Rattus norvegicus: one gene and its partners. The protein of the gene in region 2 interacts with the protein of the main gene of each other region in a pairwise test. Links are inferred from orthologs where the notes say so. Each region holds a gene or a part of one and is shown on either strand. Other genes may lie near its edges. The genes, in order: Nupr1, Syncrip and Prmt8.

Region 1 (4,409 bases), on a different chromosome or scaffold from region 2:
AGGGATGTTTACTCACAGAGCTATTGTGTGTGCAAGAAAGAACATTCTACCTTGTTCGTCTGAGTGAAATTACAGGAGCCCAAACTCAGCCCTCAGGCAACTCTACACTTGTATCCAATTGTCTTTTCATTTGCCCCACGTTCGCCTGGAATTCTGGTCCTGGCACCCACCAACCCACCCTGCTTAAGGAGAACTTTCTCTTCAGTTCACCAAGCACCCTGCCCTGGAAGCCAGCCTGTCATTCCATGCTTGGATTTGAGCCCTCAGTTGCTTAAAACAAATCCTTTGCATATTTTAAACCTCAGGTTGTTGGGGTTTTTTTGTCATTTTGCAAATAGTATTAATAGAAACATTCTCTTCAAAAAGCAGCTCTACATAATAGGACCTCATTGTGCTCAAGAATGGGGAAGGGACTGGCCAGTTTGTCTCTGGGGCAGTATTGCAAAGAAACCGCAATTTCCCCAGAAGAGACCATAGAAACAGGCACCTCAAAGCATCTGCATACATTAGGTAAGGCAACAATACTGGACAACTGGTCACAGCCCCCTAAGCTACACAGTAAGAAAACTCCCATCCAGATAGTCTCCTAAGAGAGATACACCATGGACACAGCAAGATACAATACACACAAACACAACAAAGACAGCACAACACACACACAAATGCTGTCACTGTTGTACAGTTTATTGTTACTGCCACCCAAGGGCATCCAGTTTTTCCCACTGTTCTTTTTGGGGGTGCCTTCTTAGCTCTGCCCATCTACCCTCTGCTTCTCGCTCCTAACTTGCCCTTTAGCTGGGTCCGGAAGGGCTTTTTTTGGTGTTCCCTCTCCAGAGCCTCACTTAGGTGGGAAAGAATCAAGCAGGCCTAGGTCCTGCTTACAACTCCTAATTTCTCCAAGGTCCTGTATCCATTGCTGGGTGTGGTGTCCGTGGTCTGGCCTCATCTGTGGAGAGGGAAAGCAGATGATGAAAGGGACAGAGATCAGAGTTTGAATTCCCACCTTCCTGCTCGTATTTTCTATAACTTTAGAGAAGTACTTGGCTCTCTCTGCCTCAGTCTCCCTTTCCATAAACCAAATTTCCCCTCCATTGGAAAGGCTCTCTGGGAAACTTTTCTCCCCTTTGGTTGCCAGGGAACTTCAGTCAAGTATGGGTCTCACATTGTTCTAGATGTAGATGACAGCACTATTTTTTCATTTACCGATTTGCTGATGTGTTTGCATGCATGTGGGCACATGTGTATTCTCCTGGGCAAGTGCTACTTTGTGGAGGTCGGAGGACATCGAGGGTACAGAGGTCCTTGTACTCACAGAGAAACACTAAGAACGAGAAATGTCGATCACACAGAGTGTCTCCTCAATGGAGGAGGCAAGTCAAATACTTGCATTCCATCTAGAAATCTGAGAGTGGACTTTTGTTAACAACCCAGTGACCTTTCTGCTCTGTGTGGAGTCAGACTTCCCCCCAGCTTTTGCTATAGAGGCAGACCTCACTCGAATTCTCCAGACTGATTATCCCAGACTCTTCCCTCCCTAGAGCATTCCCCGCTCTTAGGAGAGATGTCACATCTACCTGCTGAACTCCATGCTATTGGTAGAGACCACACTAGATCCTAGGTCCTTCAGCTGTACAGAACCCACCCTCAGGGTCACGTGTACTTTTAAATGAGCTTCCAAGTAGTCACACCTTACGCTTTACTGTGCTCCCGGAATTGGACTGATTGTTGCCTAGAAACCTCTTCCCAAGTTGAACTGTGTTTTAAATATGCTGACAATGAACCCTCCTGGCATCAGACACCCTGAAATCTGATCCAAGTTGATGGAAGTCAATCTGAATGGGGTTTTCATTCTTATCACTTCCCTGCCTGGGTATCTGCAGGGCCCCCTCAAGAACACAGCTTGCAGTTGTTCTCTCCCCTCTTTCATTATGCGGATCCCAGAGATCAATCAAGCATAGGTTGTCCTGCTTGGCTGCAAGTGCCTCCCTCACTGCCTCTCTGGCTCTTGACTCCTCACCTCCAGCTCTGTCTCAGCGCCAGGCCTTTTTCCTTTCAGAGTTCTGGAACTTGGTCAGCAGCTTCCTCTCATGCCCACCAGGGCTGGGGCGGTTGGTGTTGGCAGCAGCTTCTCTCTTGGTACGTCCTTTCCGACCTCCACCGACTGGTTGAGCAGGCGTTAGAGGAAACAGGGCAGAGGAGGTGTGTGAGGTTCAGGGGACAGGCAAATAAATAGCTGGGAGCTTAGGGGTGGGTAGGGCAGGATGGCCAGAATGTGATGGTCACCCTGTACATCTGAGGCACTCTACCCTAGCTGTTTACTCATGTCTAGAAGGAGAGACACTCACTTGTGAGTTCTTGGGGCTAAGGAAGACAAACTCAGTAGATGAGACTAGAAAGGGGGTACTTGGGAGTTGGGAATAGATTAGCTAATAGATTAGGTAAGATGGGGTTGGGGGTGAGAAGAGGGGAAGCTGACCAAGGAGCTGCCATGCAGACCTTACCGACATAAGATTGGGCCAGGCTGTACTGGTCATACTCATCCAGGATCCCATCTTCGTCCTCTATGTTTACAGGTTGCTGGGAAGTGTGGGCTGTTGGTGGCAAAGTGGCCATCATACCTGGTCTGCTTTCTCCAAAGTCTTGCCTGTTTTCCAAATGTCTGCCCTCTCCCAGTTCCCTCACCCCTACTTATAACGCTGTCTCCTCCTTAGACCATGGGGCTGGTTCCCGCCCTCCAAGCCCTGTCTGATGCAATCTGGCCTTTTTCCAGAACTGGGTCCATATACACCAGTCCTGAGCAGAGAGGAGCACCCTCCCCTTTCTCCTCCCTCACAGGACTCACCCAAGCCCAGCTGTGTTTTTCCACGTGGAAAGCTCCTGCCTCTGGGGGAGGAGGAAGCAGACAGGATCTGGGTACAAACAGTCTTTGGGATGTTGGCCAGAGAGAGCAGAGGGCCGCAGAACACACACACACACACACACACACACACACACACACACACACACACACATACACACACACATACACACACACATACACACACATACACACACATACACACATACACACATACACACATATACACACACACACTTACACATACACACACATACACACACATACACACACATACACACACATACACACACACATACATACACACACATACACACACACATACATACACACACATACACACACACAGAGTACATTGTACATTGTAGTCTGGTTCAGACTCAGGAGTTAGTGGCAGCATACCCACTGAAAAGGGAGGGAGGAGAGACACTGACCCACTTCTCGCTAAGTCAGCAGTTCCTGTCACAACCAAGGCTTCTATTTTTAAGGAAAGTCCCCTCACTTTACTTCAATAGAGTTCCCAGGGACTTCCTCCTCATCCAAGGTGGAGGATAGCTATCTGGTAGAGACAGCAAATACTCTGGATTCCACACTCTGATTCCTGATCCACCTCCCTCTGCCCTGCTTTCTGACAGAGGCCTTCTATGGAGCCCAGGTTAGCCCTTGAACTTGCAATTCTCCTGCCTCATCATACTAAACGCTGGAATTACAAATCAGCTCAGATCCAGTGTCTCCTGTGTGACCTTGGTCATGTTACTTTCCCTCTCTAGTTGCTTCAGTTTTCCCCTTTAACAGAGGATAACCCCATCTACCTCCATTGTGAGAGGCTGCAGGGACATGAGGCCTGGAAAAGCCTTCACAGCAGCTGGGAATGGTATAAGGATTAGTCATAATTTTCCATGGTTTCCCACACAGCCACACAGTGTTTTTGCTGTGACCAAAGGGGGGGGGGGAGATTTAAAATAAAATACTGTGGGCTGGCAAGATGACTCAATGGGTAAAGTACTTGCCGCCAAGCCTGGCAACCTGAGTTCATCGGTTTCCAGGACCCCAACAGTATGGGAGAGAAAAATCTCCCACAGAGTGTCCTCTGACCCTCCCATGCCCATTCACACACACACACACACACACACACACACACACACACACACACACACACACACACGATAACTGCATGTGACTTTTACATTCTAAATAATACATTGCTGTGGAGGGCATAATGAAATAAACAGGTGTTTGTGCTTTGACCCCCCTCTTTGTTTTAGTCAGAGTCTCACCTTTGAGCTGTGGCTGGCTTAGAACTTGCTCTGTAGAACAGCCTATGATGGTTCTCTTGTGGAGTTTGTGTCTAGTGTTGAGTTTAGATCAATCTGCCTCTACCCACTGAGTGCTGGGTTTAAAGGTGTGCATTACCACACCCAGTCAGTATGAATTCAAGTATGAATTAATATTAAACTTTTTCAGGGGGCTGGGGATTTAGCTCAGTGGTAGAGCGCTTACCTAGGAAGCGCAAGGCCCTGGGTTCGGTCCCCAGCTCCGAAAAAAAAACTTT
Region 2 (4,947 bases):
CCATTGCCTCTGTGGGCATCTTCACTCCCATGTTCATACTCACATGCTCTCTCTCTCTCTCTCTCACACACACACACACACACACACACACACACACACACACACACACACACACACTTAGATAATTAAATCTTTTAAAACATGCAAGGAAAAAAAAAGGTCCAAAACATGAAAGGAATTTAGGTCAGAGATGAAGAGGAGAGGTTTCAATTGGAAAATTCTTGACATTGCCTAGGGAGCAGCACTTTTAAAGGAGCTCTTGTATTCAGGGATCATTAAATAAGAACTGTGTCAAAGTTTTCCCCTTGTTTAATCTACCGTCTATTACCATTTTGGTTGTTTTTCATTGATATCATTATCCAGACTTTTGGGGTACAAACTACAATATTTTGCTGAATTAATCAAATACCATAGCAGGGATATGTTTCGTAGTAAGGGATTTAGGTGGTGGATAGCCAGAGCCGTATTAAACAGATTTTGGGTAGACAGTACTTCAGAAATATTTCCTATTTGGTCCACTTGTCAACAGAAAAAAAAAAGCCCTATTTTATGTATTTAGGCACTTTGTACTGTTTATTTAACTTTCCTTGGACTACTGGCTTGTTATTACAGCATAAATCTATGTTAGATTTTTTAGAAACAGTAGCTTTCTCAATATATGTATGTATATATATGTATGTATATGTATGTATTCTTTTTTGCAAACAGGATGTTATTTTACATTACAGCTGCTCTGCATAAAATTAGTATCCATATCGCCTGAGACACAAACGCCTTTGTCTTGTCTTTCTTGTCCCTAGTAAATGGTTACAAAGGAAATGTCACTTCACAGAACATTTAATTGCCAAGATGCTTGAAAAGAAACACATTTTCCTCATAGTTGTCCTAATCACGCAGCTTTCTGCTGCTTCAAGTTGTTCAAAGTGTGCCAGGAGGAGCACTTAACCGCTTAAAAGGCCAGGGACAGAAACGGAATATTGCACAATCCAACACCACCGGGCCGGTTAAGCTTCCAAATCTGGCCTCGGTGTCATCCCCGGGTGGGAGGAACTGGGATTTCCTCGCGAACCCGCGGCGCCCCTCCCTTTGCCCAGGGTATTCGTGGAAGCCGAGGACGGCGCGCGCCGGGCCGCGGGATGCCCCATTGTCCAGCGGCGGAAGCCGGGGCTCCCCGGGGTGACTCCCGAACTCGAGCCCCGCCACCCGGTGGCCCCGAGTTCCGCCATCCCCCGTGCAGCTCCCCTCCCCCGCAGCCCCATTGTCTGCCTCGCCTCGCCCCGCCCCGGGGGACACGTGCGCCTGCAGCTTCTCGAGCGCCCAGGGCGCGGGGCGGCGGTGGCAGCCTGGGCAGAGCGGTCAGCCAGCGCCGGGCACCCTCGGAGCCCCGACTCGCCGTGGGGAGGTGGGGGCGGGGAGGACGGGGTGGGGAGATGCTTGTCTCCTGACAAAGAAGGAGTGGGACACACAGCCAGCCGGCAGCCCCGCCCGCGGAGCGCGAGGGAGTGTCCGCACAGAGGGCGGGTCTCCCATTCACTCGGCCCCTCACGGTCGCCGCGGCGGAAGGGCGGGGTCTCTCCCCCCCCTACCAGCACCTAGGGGCGGGGCGAGAGGCGGGGCCCACGGGCGCGCGTCCTGAGGCGTCGGCTGCGTCGTCACGTCAGCGCGGGAGAGAGAAAGAGCGACTCGGCAGGGACTGGGGACGGGCCGAGAGAGCTAGCGAGGGAGGGCGTGAGCCAGAGAGCCAGCGAGGAGAAGGGCGGCCACTCGTGCTTGAGCGGCCGCGGACGGGAGTGGGAAAGCTGGGGGAGGAGGTGCAGGGAAGGAAGGACGAAGACCGAGAGGACAGGGCGGCCCACGGCCGGCAGAGGTGGCAAGGGGAGAAGGAGGAGCTGTAGGAGGGCAGGGGCTGAGGGAGTGAGTGAGAGAAGCGGACGCGCCAGGGAGGGGAGGGAAGGGGGGTCACGCGGGGGCGCGCGCGCGCACTGGGAGCGCGCTCGGAGGCGAGTGGAACTGGATCGGGTTTGCTGCCAGCGGCGTGAGCTTCGGCCGCCATTTTACAACAGCTCCACTCGCGCCGGACACAGGGAGCAGCGAGCACGCGTTCCCCGCCACCCGACCCGGTCGGACAGGATTCCTCGGCCCCAGCCCCGCGGGGAGGTAACGACGGCCGGCACACGGGTGTTGGGGAGGGGGGAGCTCCGTGACATTTTGGAGGGTGCTTGGGGGAGGGCGGCGCGGGGAGAAACCGGCTTTTCTGGAAAATGGATTCCAAGGGGGAGAAGAGCACGTTGGCCGGGGCTGCGAGAGAGTAGGCCGCGGTCGCGCCGCCACTTCCTCCTCTCCATGTGCTGCCGGGTCTGGGCTTTGTCTGCGGCGCTCCGGGAGGAGGCGCCTCGGCAGCCCCGTGGCCCGAGCGGATCGCGAGCGGCGGCGGACTTGGTGCTGTCGTGGCCGGCGGCGCGGGAGTGGGCGGAGAGGCGCGGGTGCTGTCCCGCGACCGGCCGGCGGGCTTGGGCGGTGCTCGGCTCCCGCGGGCGTGTGCTTGGCGGCGGAACGCCCTCCCGGCGCGGGCTGTCGGCCTCGGCGCCGCAGCCACTGCACCGAGGGGTGCGGGAGGCTGGGGGTCGCGGGCGCACGGGAGCGCCCGGGGCGGAGAGCCATGTGTCACGGCGGAGACGGCGGCGCTGGGGGGCGGGGAGAGCCCGTGGCCTGGCGCCGCCGCGGCCTCGCTTTTGAGGGGCGAGATGTGCGGCTGCAGTGTTCGGGGGGCTCGGACCCCGATTGCGGGTTGATGTTGGGAGGCGGTCATGACGGTCTTGGCCTGGTACTCGGTGGGTTTCCGTTGAAGGAAGTTGTAGGACATTTGAAGGCGCAGAGCACGTGTTTCTAATGGGCTCCTGGCGGCTGCAGTGGCGTTGCTGCCGCTCCGGGTGCGGAGTCGGGGGCGGGCTTTGGGGTGTGGGGGTGAAGGGTGGAGGAATTGGGTGGTGGGAAGGTGGCTTGTGTGAGCGCTTTGTTCTTCGCTGGCTGTTGTTACTGATCTATAAGCGGCAGGCGGGAAAAGCGCACTTTCTGGTTTACCTTGGAGAGAGACAAGCCCAGCGTTGCTTGCTTCACACACCTTATTCTCCGTTTTGGAAGTGCTGCGTGTGGCAGGCTGGGCCGGTCGCTGTGCTGATTGGGCTTCATTTGTAATAAGGTTTTTCTCAGTGAGTGTTAGTTAGCAGGTGAAGTGAGGGGTGGTGCTCAGGAAGAAAATAGTGAATCGGTCCTTCTGTACCCCGGGCTCCACAGTCTGGCTTGTCAGGCGATAGTGACTTTAAGGTTTCTTTCAAGGGAGGCTCAGGCTGACTGGTTGTAGTCAAGTGGAAGAGAAAGTAAAGATTGGGACTGTCATTGTCCTCTATTCTGTTTGAAGATCCTAGTTTAATTTTGCTTATTGCGTTTGAACAGATCTCTGGAAACATGGCTACAGAACATGTTAATGGAAATGGTACTGAAGAGCCCATGGATACTACTTCAGCAGTTATCCATTCAGAAAATTTTCAGACATTGCTTGATGCTGGTTTACCACAGAAAGTTGCTGAAAAACTAGATGAAATTTACGTTGCAGGTAAGAACTAACACTTGCAAAATTACATTATGAAATTTTTCTATTGGATTTCTGACTTTGAGCTAAAATAGCAACTTTTTGTGGTTTCCAATAAACGTGGGAACTGGAGCTTGGCCTTGTTCTGATAGTTGGTTAATTTAGGTTTGAGGTAGAGTGTAGAGGGAGGGATGAAATGAGGGGATAGACCTCCCTAGGGGAAGGCTGTCTGGCCTGATGGATAAGTATATGATAGTAGCAACAGCTGCTGAATGTTGAGAGCAGCCCACGTGACTTTTTGAGGTATTTTTATAGCATGATTCTTGTTTAATAACTTGGTAACTCTAGGCTAGTTCTCTTGTCTTTCTCGGTGTGGTGGCTCCTTTTTTCTAGTGGTACTTGACATTGAGGAGAGGTTCAGTTGTTAGGCTTGGTGTTTTGTTGGTTGACTTTAGGATTTGTAGGCTTATATATTTACTGTAGAAATATTGAGTGTTCAGGACTACTCGAACACAAAACAGGATGTAAAATAGGTTGACTCCTTCTGTGGTTGAGAGGACTTATGGCTAAAGTAGGTGTTTCATTATGTAGAGGAGGGGAGGATAAGGAGGGTAGGTAGAACCATTGTCATATGTGTACCTGTATGGGTAAATACAGGACTCTGAAGAAATAGTTTAGAAAATTTAAAAGATGATAACTCACTAAACTTTTTCTTCTCCAGGGCTAGTTGCACATAGTGATTTAGATGAGAGAGCTATCGAAGCTTTAAAAGAGTTCAATGAAGACGGCGCATTGGCAGTGCTTCAACAGTTCAAAGACAGTGATCTCTCTCATGTTCAGGTATGTTAATTTAATGTCAGTGTAGAAAGAATTAAAAATGAATATTTTTGATGTGTTCATTTAAATTTATTAGATATAAACATACTAATGTTAAATATGAATTGGAAATTTCTTTACAGAACAAAAGTGCCTTTTTATGTGGAGTCATGAAGACTTACAGGCAGAGAGAGAAACAAGGGACCAAAGTAGCAGACTCTAGTAAAGGACCAGATGAGGCGAAGATTAAGGTATGCTTTTAAAACTTTCTGCAGCTTTACAACCCTCCCAGTTATTTAAGAGCTTTGTCAAATGTTCCTGAAGTGTGCCCGGGTACATATATTTCTAAGGTTATTCCTGAAGTGCGCGCGCGCCGCGCGCGCACACACACACACACACACACACACACACACACACACACACACACACACGCATGTGTATTTCTAAGGTTATTGTCTTCTAATGAGTACACTTTGAAAAAAAAGATTGACTGTGTCCACTTTTGGTTTTTGAAAATCACTGCAGTTTGTCTGGCTACTACT
Region 3 (4,226 bases), on a different chromosome or scaffold from region 2:
GGTTTATATTTGCAGCACTGCAGATGGTATTAATCATATTCACCCCAGAGTGAAAAGTTCCCAGTAATCTACAAGCAGCGGGGCTGGCTGACACCCAGAATATTCCCAAGAGGAACTCATCCTCATAGTGACTCAAAGCTATGCCATCCTGGGTTATGGGTTGGGACTGAGGAGGAAGGAAAGCTTAATCGCAGATTCAGAGAACTGCAGACATCATTCAGAGCCTCATCTTCACGGTACAAGATGAGTACCACCCTGCTCATGCAGCATTCCAGATACAACCCGGCTGTTCTAGAGCACCAGAGCCAGGCAGCGTGTCTTTGCTGGTATCCCTCAGCTTACAGGCGGATACTTGAGCGCCAGTTCGTGTAGTAACACACCACCAGCTGCCATGGCTTAGCAGTTCCCTAATGTGGTTTTGTTAGAACTAATAGGTTGTAAGTGGGGTGTCCCTATGATTCAGCTTTCAATTAAGGATGTTTTGGCAAGCAAAACGGAGATCTAGGGATGATCTAGCACTGCATGAACAGACAGGAGTCATGTCAGCACACACAGAGGGATATCTGGTCACTCTTCACTATCTATCTCACCCATACGCCACCTCAGGGGATAAATGTCATAAGTCTATAAAGGATAGAGACAAGATGGTCTGCTCTATGCAGCTCACACTCCAAGGCTTTACGGTACTAACACAGGAGCACAGAGAGGAGGTTTGCTCGTGCTAGTTAGATAAGTTGCTGAGGGGGCTTCCAGCTCACCAGCTGACTCCTGGTGGCACCGGATTTTCAGGGTCACCATAACAACCTGTGGCAAAGAAGACTCTAGGACCAGGCCCTATCGTTCTTCCCACAACATCTACCCAGAAAAATGCAAAAGGAGACAGCCACGTTAGCTATGGGGGCAGTATTATGTCCTGCCGTGTCTTTCCCCTCTGTGTCCCACCTTCCCAGAATTACTGAATTAAAAATGCAGAGCAGGTCTAGGAGATCTAGGGATGACTGTGCTACATGAACAGACACGAACCATATTCACAGTCATAGAGCGAATACATGGTCACTCTTCCCTGTCTATCTCATCCATACAACACCCCAGGGGATAAATATCATGTCATAACTCTGCAAATGATGGGGATGGGATGCAAACCTTTAATTTCTTCTATTTCTAATGGACACGGTGGAAAACTCCGATGAGAAGCCCTGAGACAGACTGTAGCCACTGGCTCCAAGATGGAAACGTTTGGGGAGGCTCTTAATCTTTTGAAACAATGTTCCTTCCACCCAGGGATGGCATGCATGCTTTGGGGTCACTCACTGGAGGCAGACTGGCCTCACTGGCCAGCAGATCTTAGCCAGCGAGGCTTGGATCCTCAAAGTCCTCTCACTGGATGAGAGAGGAGGCAGTTTGAGTCCCCTTCACTGAAGGTCTTTAGGGACAGGAGAGACACCTGCCTGCGTGGGTGGAGGCGGAGATGGGGGCGAGGGTGCTGTCAGCCACACTCCCGGCATCCGCAGCCACAGCCAGAACTTGTCTTTTGACAGTTTATTTAGAGGTAATTGGCAGCAAGCGTGCTGAGAGCAGGTGGTCTGCCAACAGCAGCATGGCTTGCAGGCTGGGTGCTAGGTGGGCTTGAGGCCCAAGTCTCTGCAAGGCACAAGCTGTATGTGGTATCCCCTCCCCCCCAGATGCTCAGACTGCGTTGTCCTGTGACCTTGAATTCTTATTGATTTCCAAATGCACACACTGAGGGCTGCTCTGGTCTCTATCTGACCACTGACATTTGATCAAGGCAGCTCATTGCAAACAACAAGTGGGGAGAGGGGGAAGGCCTCTCTGCTGCCACTAAAATAGATCTTGGGGGTTTTCAGAAGGTCTTTGAGGTCACCCCGTCTGATTTGACGCGTGACAAGTGAACTCGCTCTCGGTGGTGTCCTCAACACCCAGGGAGGAACCAGTAACTCAGTTCCTAGGACTGTGAGGCAGCTCCAGTTCTTCCTGCAGCAACACTATGGGTTCTAGTAATTCCCAAAGCCACGCGTAAAGTGCATATAAATCTCCCGTGCCAAAGTCTTTGATGTGCTTGAAGGACACCCCTGGCCTTCCCAACTCTTCTTGCTGTGGGTGTTGGTTTTAAGCAAGAAGGAAAGTCCACTGGGGGAAGACAAAGGTCTAAGCCGAGAGGAGCTCACCATAAAGTGAGGTTTCTGCGGCCCACAGGTTTCAGTTGAGCATCTTTGGGCAAATCCCACATCGCAGGATGCTGGGCTTTGGCTTCTTGACACTGTTCTCTTGCCATAGACTCGGTGCTTCTAGGTTGGGTGTGGTGAGAGCTAAGCTTGCTAAGCAAGGCTGGTCTGACCCCACTCTTTAGGAGCCTGCAGAGGAGGTAAACAATTGAGGGGGGGGTGTTTACTCTGAAGCATGCCAGACACTGTGATGATGTCAACTCCGGATGCCCTTGGAGTGCAGGATTTAGGTTGGAGTGGTCCAGGAAGGCTGGCCTTGAAGGAGGAGGATGTTGTGAGTAGGAAAGGAAGAGCATTCTGGAGGCAGTCACTGCCCGAGAAAAGGGCTGCATCCCAGGAGACAGAACCCTCCCAGTTAGCTGGAGACTACATGGAGTTCAGTGATAAATACCACTGAGGAACACGCATTATGATGGCCTTGAACTATACAGGAGGGGTGATCTCTGGAGTGAGACTCCCCTGCTGCTTCTCTCTGGTACTATTGGGAAGGCAGGGCTAGAATCCTACACCAGGACTGGGCCAGGGTGCTGGGTACTGCAATGGGGCAGACTCACAGGCAAAGGAAGCTATTCGAAGGAGGGAGAGGGAAGAAGGAGGATGCTGGTAAAGCTGGGAAACTGGCTGAACTATAGAATTGCCATACATGATGTCATAAGTCTACAAAGACCATACAGACAGGATGGTCACCTCTGTTCACCTCACACTCTTGAGTCTTTACTAACACAGGAGCATGGGAAGGAGGTTTGCTTATGCCAATGAGGCTAGTTCCTGAGGAAGCTTCCAGCAAACCGACTGTCTCCCCTCTGGCCCCTCACTAAGATCATCAGTTCTGTCCGGCTGGGGCTGGGATGGGATGGTGGGCATTGGACTGAGTCAGGAGTTCTGGGTCTTGCTCCCGACTGCTTGAGTGTTGGGATCTGGGCAGAAATCAAGACCCATAGAAAGCTCAGGACCTCTGTGTGGGTCCTGGGCTTCAGCTGATTCTTGTTTATCTCTGACTCTCTCCTCTCTCTGTCTCTGCCTGTCTGTCTGTCTTTGTTTGTATGTATGTATGTATGTATGTATGTATGTATGTATGTATGTATGTATGTCTCTCTCATGTTCCTCTCCAGCCCCTGATGCCCCCTACACTCACTGGAAGCAGACTGTCTTCTACTTAGAAGACTACCTCACTGTTCGAAGAGGGGAGGAAATCTACGGGACCATATCCATGAAGCCAAATGCCAAAAATGTGGTGAGTCTAGGAACCCCCAAAACCCCCACATGGCCAGGGCCAAGGGAGACACAGCTGACTCCTAGGGTGCTCTCTGAAGTCACCCACCTAGTCTAATGGACAAACTTCTAGCAGAAGCAGGCAGCAGCTGTGTTTGCAGAGGACTAGGCCTAATTGGGTGACCTCAACTTTGACTCTTCCAAACTCCAATGGCTTTCTAGACTCTGAAGTTGACCTTGAGGACAGACAGCTCCTGGTAGCTCCCAGGACAGCCTTTGAGAATGGATGTTGTATAAATGGGTTCTGCTTCATTTAGGGTAAGCTGAGCCAGGAAAAGCAAGTGTCTGGTTTATTTCTCCAGCCAGCCTGGTAGAACCTTTCTGAGAAGCCCCTGTACCTGCACAGAGGCAGAGTGACTGAGGGTAATATCAAGGAAGATGCATGGACCTCAGTTATCACCTAGATAAAATCCCAGGGCTGCTTTCATGTGAGGACAGGAAGGTTAGCTGTCAGAGCCCTTCTTGTGAGGATAATGGGCACCAGAATGGATTCCTGAGGATTGGGCATGGAGGCCCCTTAGCTAGAAATCCAATAGCTACCTATCCCCATGGCACCAGGAGAAGTTCTACACCTGGGGAGGGCCCCAATCTCCTACCCAGATTCATACGGTGACCCTTTGCTCTTTCCTCATAGCGAGACCTCGATTTCACAGTAGACTTGGATTTTAAGGGACAGCTGTGTGAAACATCTGTATCTAATGACTACAAAAT

Evidence for each region.
Region 1: the proteins of Syncrip (region 2) and Nupr1 interact in a two-hybrid assay, tested with the Homo sapiens proteins (2 studies listed by BioGRID and IntAct). The link is inferred for Rattus norvegicus from reciprocal best matches to the Homo sapiens genes SYNCRIP and NUPR1.
Region 3: the proteins of Syncrip (region 2) and Prmt8 interact in binary tests that used the Homo sapiens proteins (3 or more experiments, as listed by UniProt). The link is inferred for Rattus norvegicus from reciprocal best matches to the Homo sapiens genes SYNCRIP and PRMT8.

Annotation. Positions count from the first base shown.
Region 1 is NC_086019.1:190,643,203-190,647,611, forward strand, and holds Nupr1 (nuclear protein 1), read right to left. Parts: upstream 2,700-4,409; 5' UTR 2,614-2,699; coding exon 2,502-2,613; intron 2,162-2,501; coding exon 2,031-2,161; 3' UTR 2,018-2,030; intron 947-2,017; 3' UTR 664-946; downstream 1-663. UniProt on the Homo sapiens protein: Transcription regulator that converts stress signals into a program of gene expression that empowers cells with resistance to the stress induced by a change in their microenvironment.
Region 2 is NC_086026.1:98,312,090-98,317,036, reverse strand, and holds the start of Syncrip (heterogeneous nuclear ribonucleoprotein Q), read left to right. Parts: upstream 1-1,650; 5' UTR 1,651-2,157; intron 2,158-3,453; 5' UTR 3,454-3,465; coding exon 3,466-3,613; intron 3,614-4,310; coding exon 4,311-4,429; intron 4,430-4,548; coding exon 4,549-4,656; intron 4,657-4,947. UniProt on the Homo sapiens protein: Heterogenous nuclear ribonucleoprotein (hnRNP) implicated in mRNA processing mechanisms. Component of the CRD-mediated complex that promotes MYC mRNA stability.
Region 3 is NC_086022.1:162,222,820-162,227,045, reverse strand, and holds part of Prmt8 (protein arginine N-methyltransferase 8), read left to right. Parts: intron 1-3,355; coding exon 3,356-3,477; intron 3,478-4,149; coding exon 4,150-4,226. UniProt on the Homo sapiens protein: S-adenosyl-L-methionine-dependent and membrane-associated arginine methyltransferase that can both catalyze the formation of omega-N monomethylarginine (MMA) and asymmetrical dimethylarginine (aDMA) in proteins such as NIFK, myelin basic protein, histone H4, H2A and H2A/H2B dimer.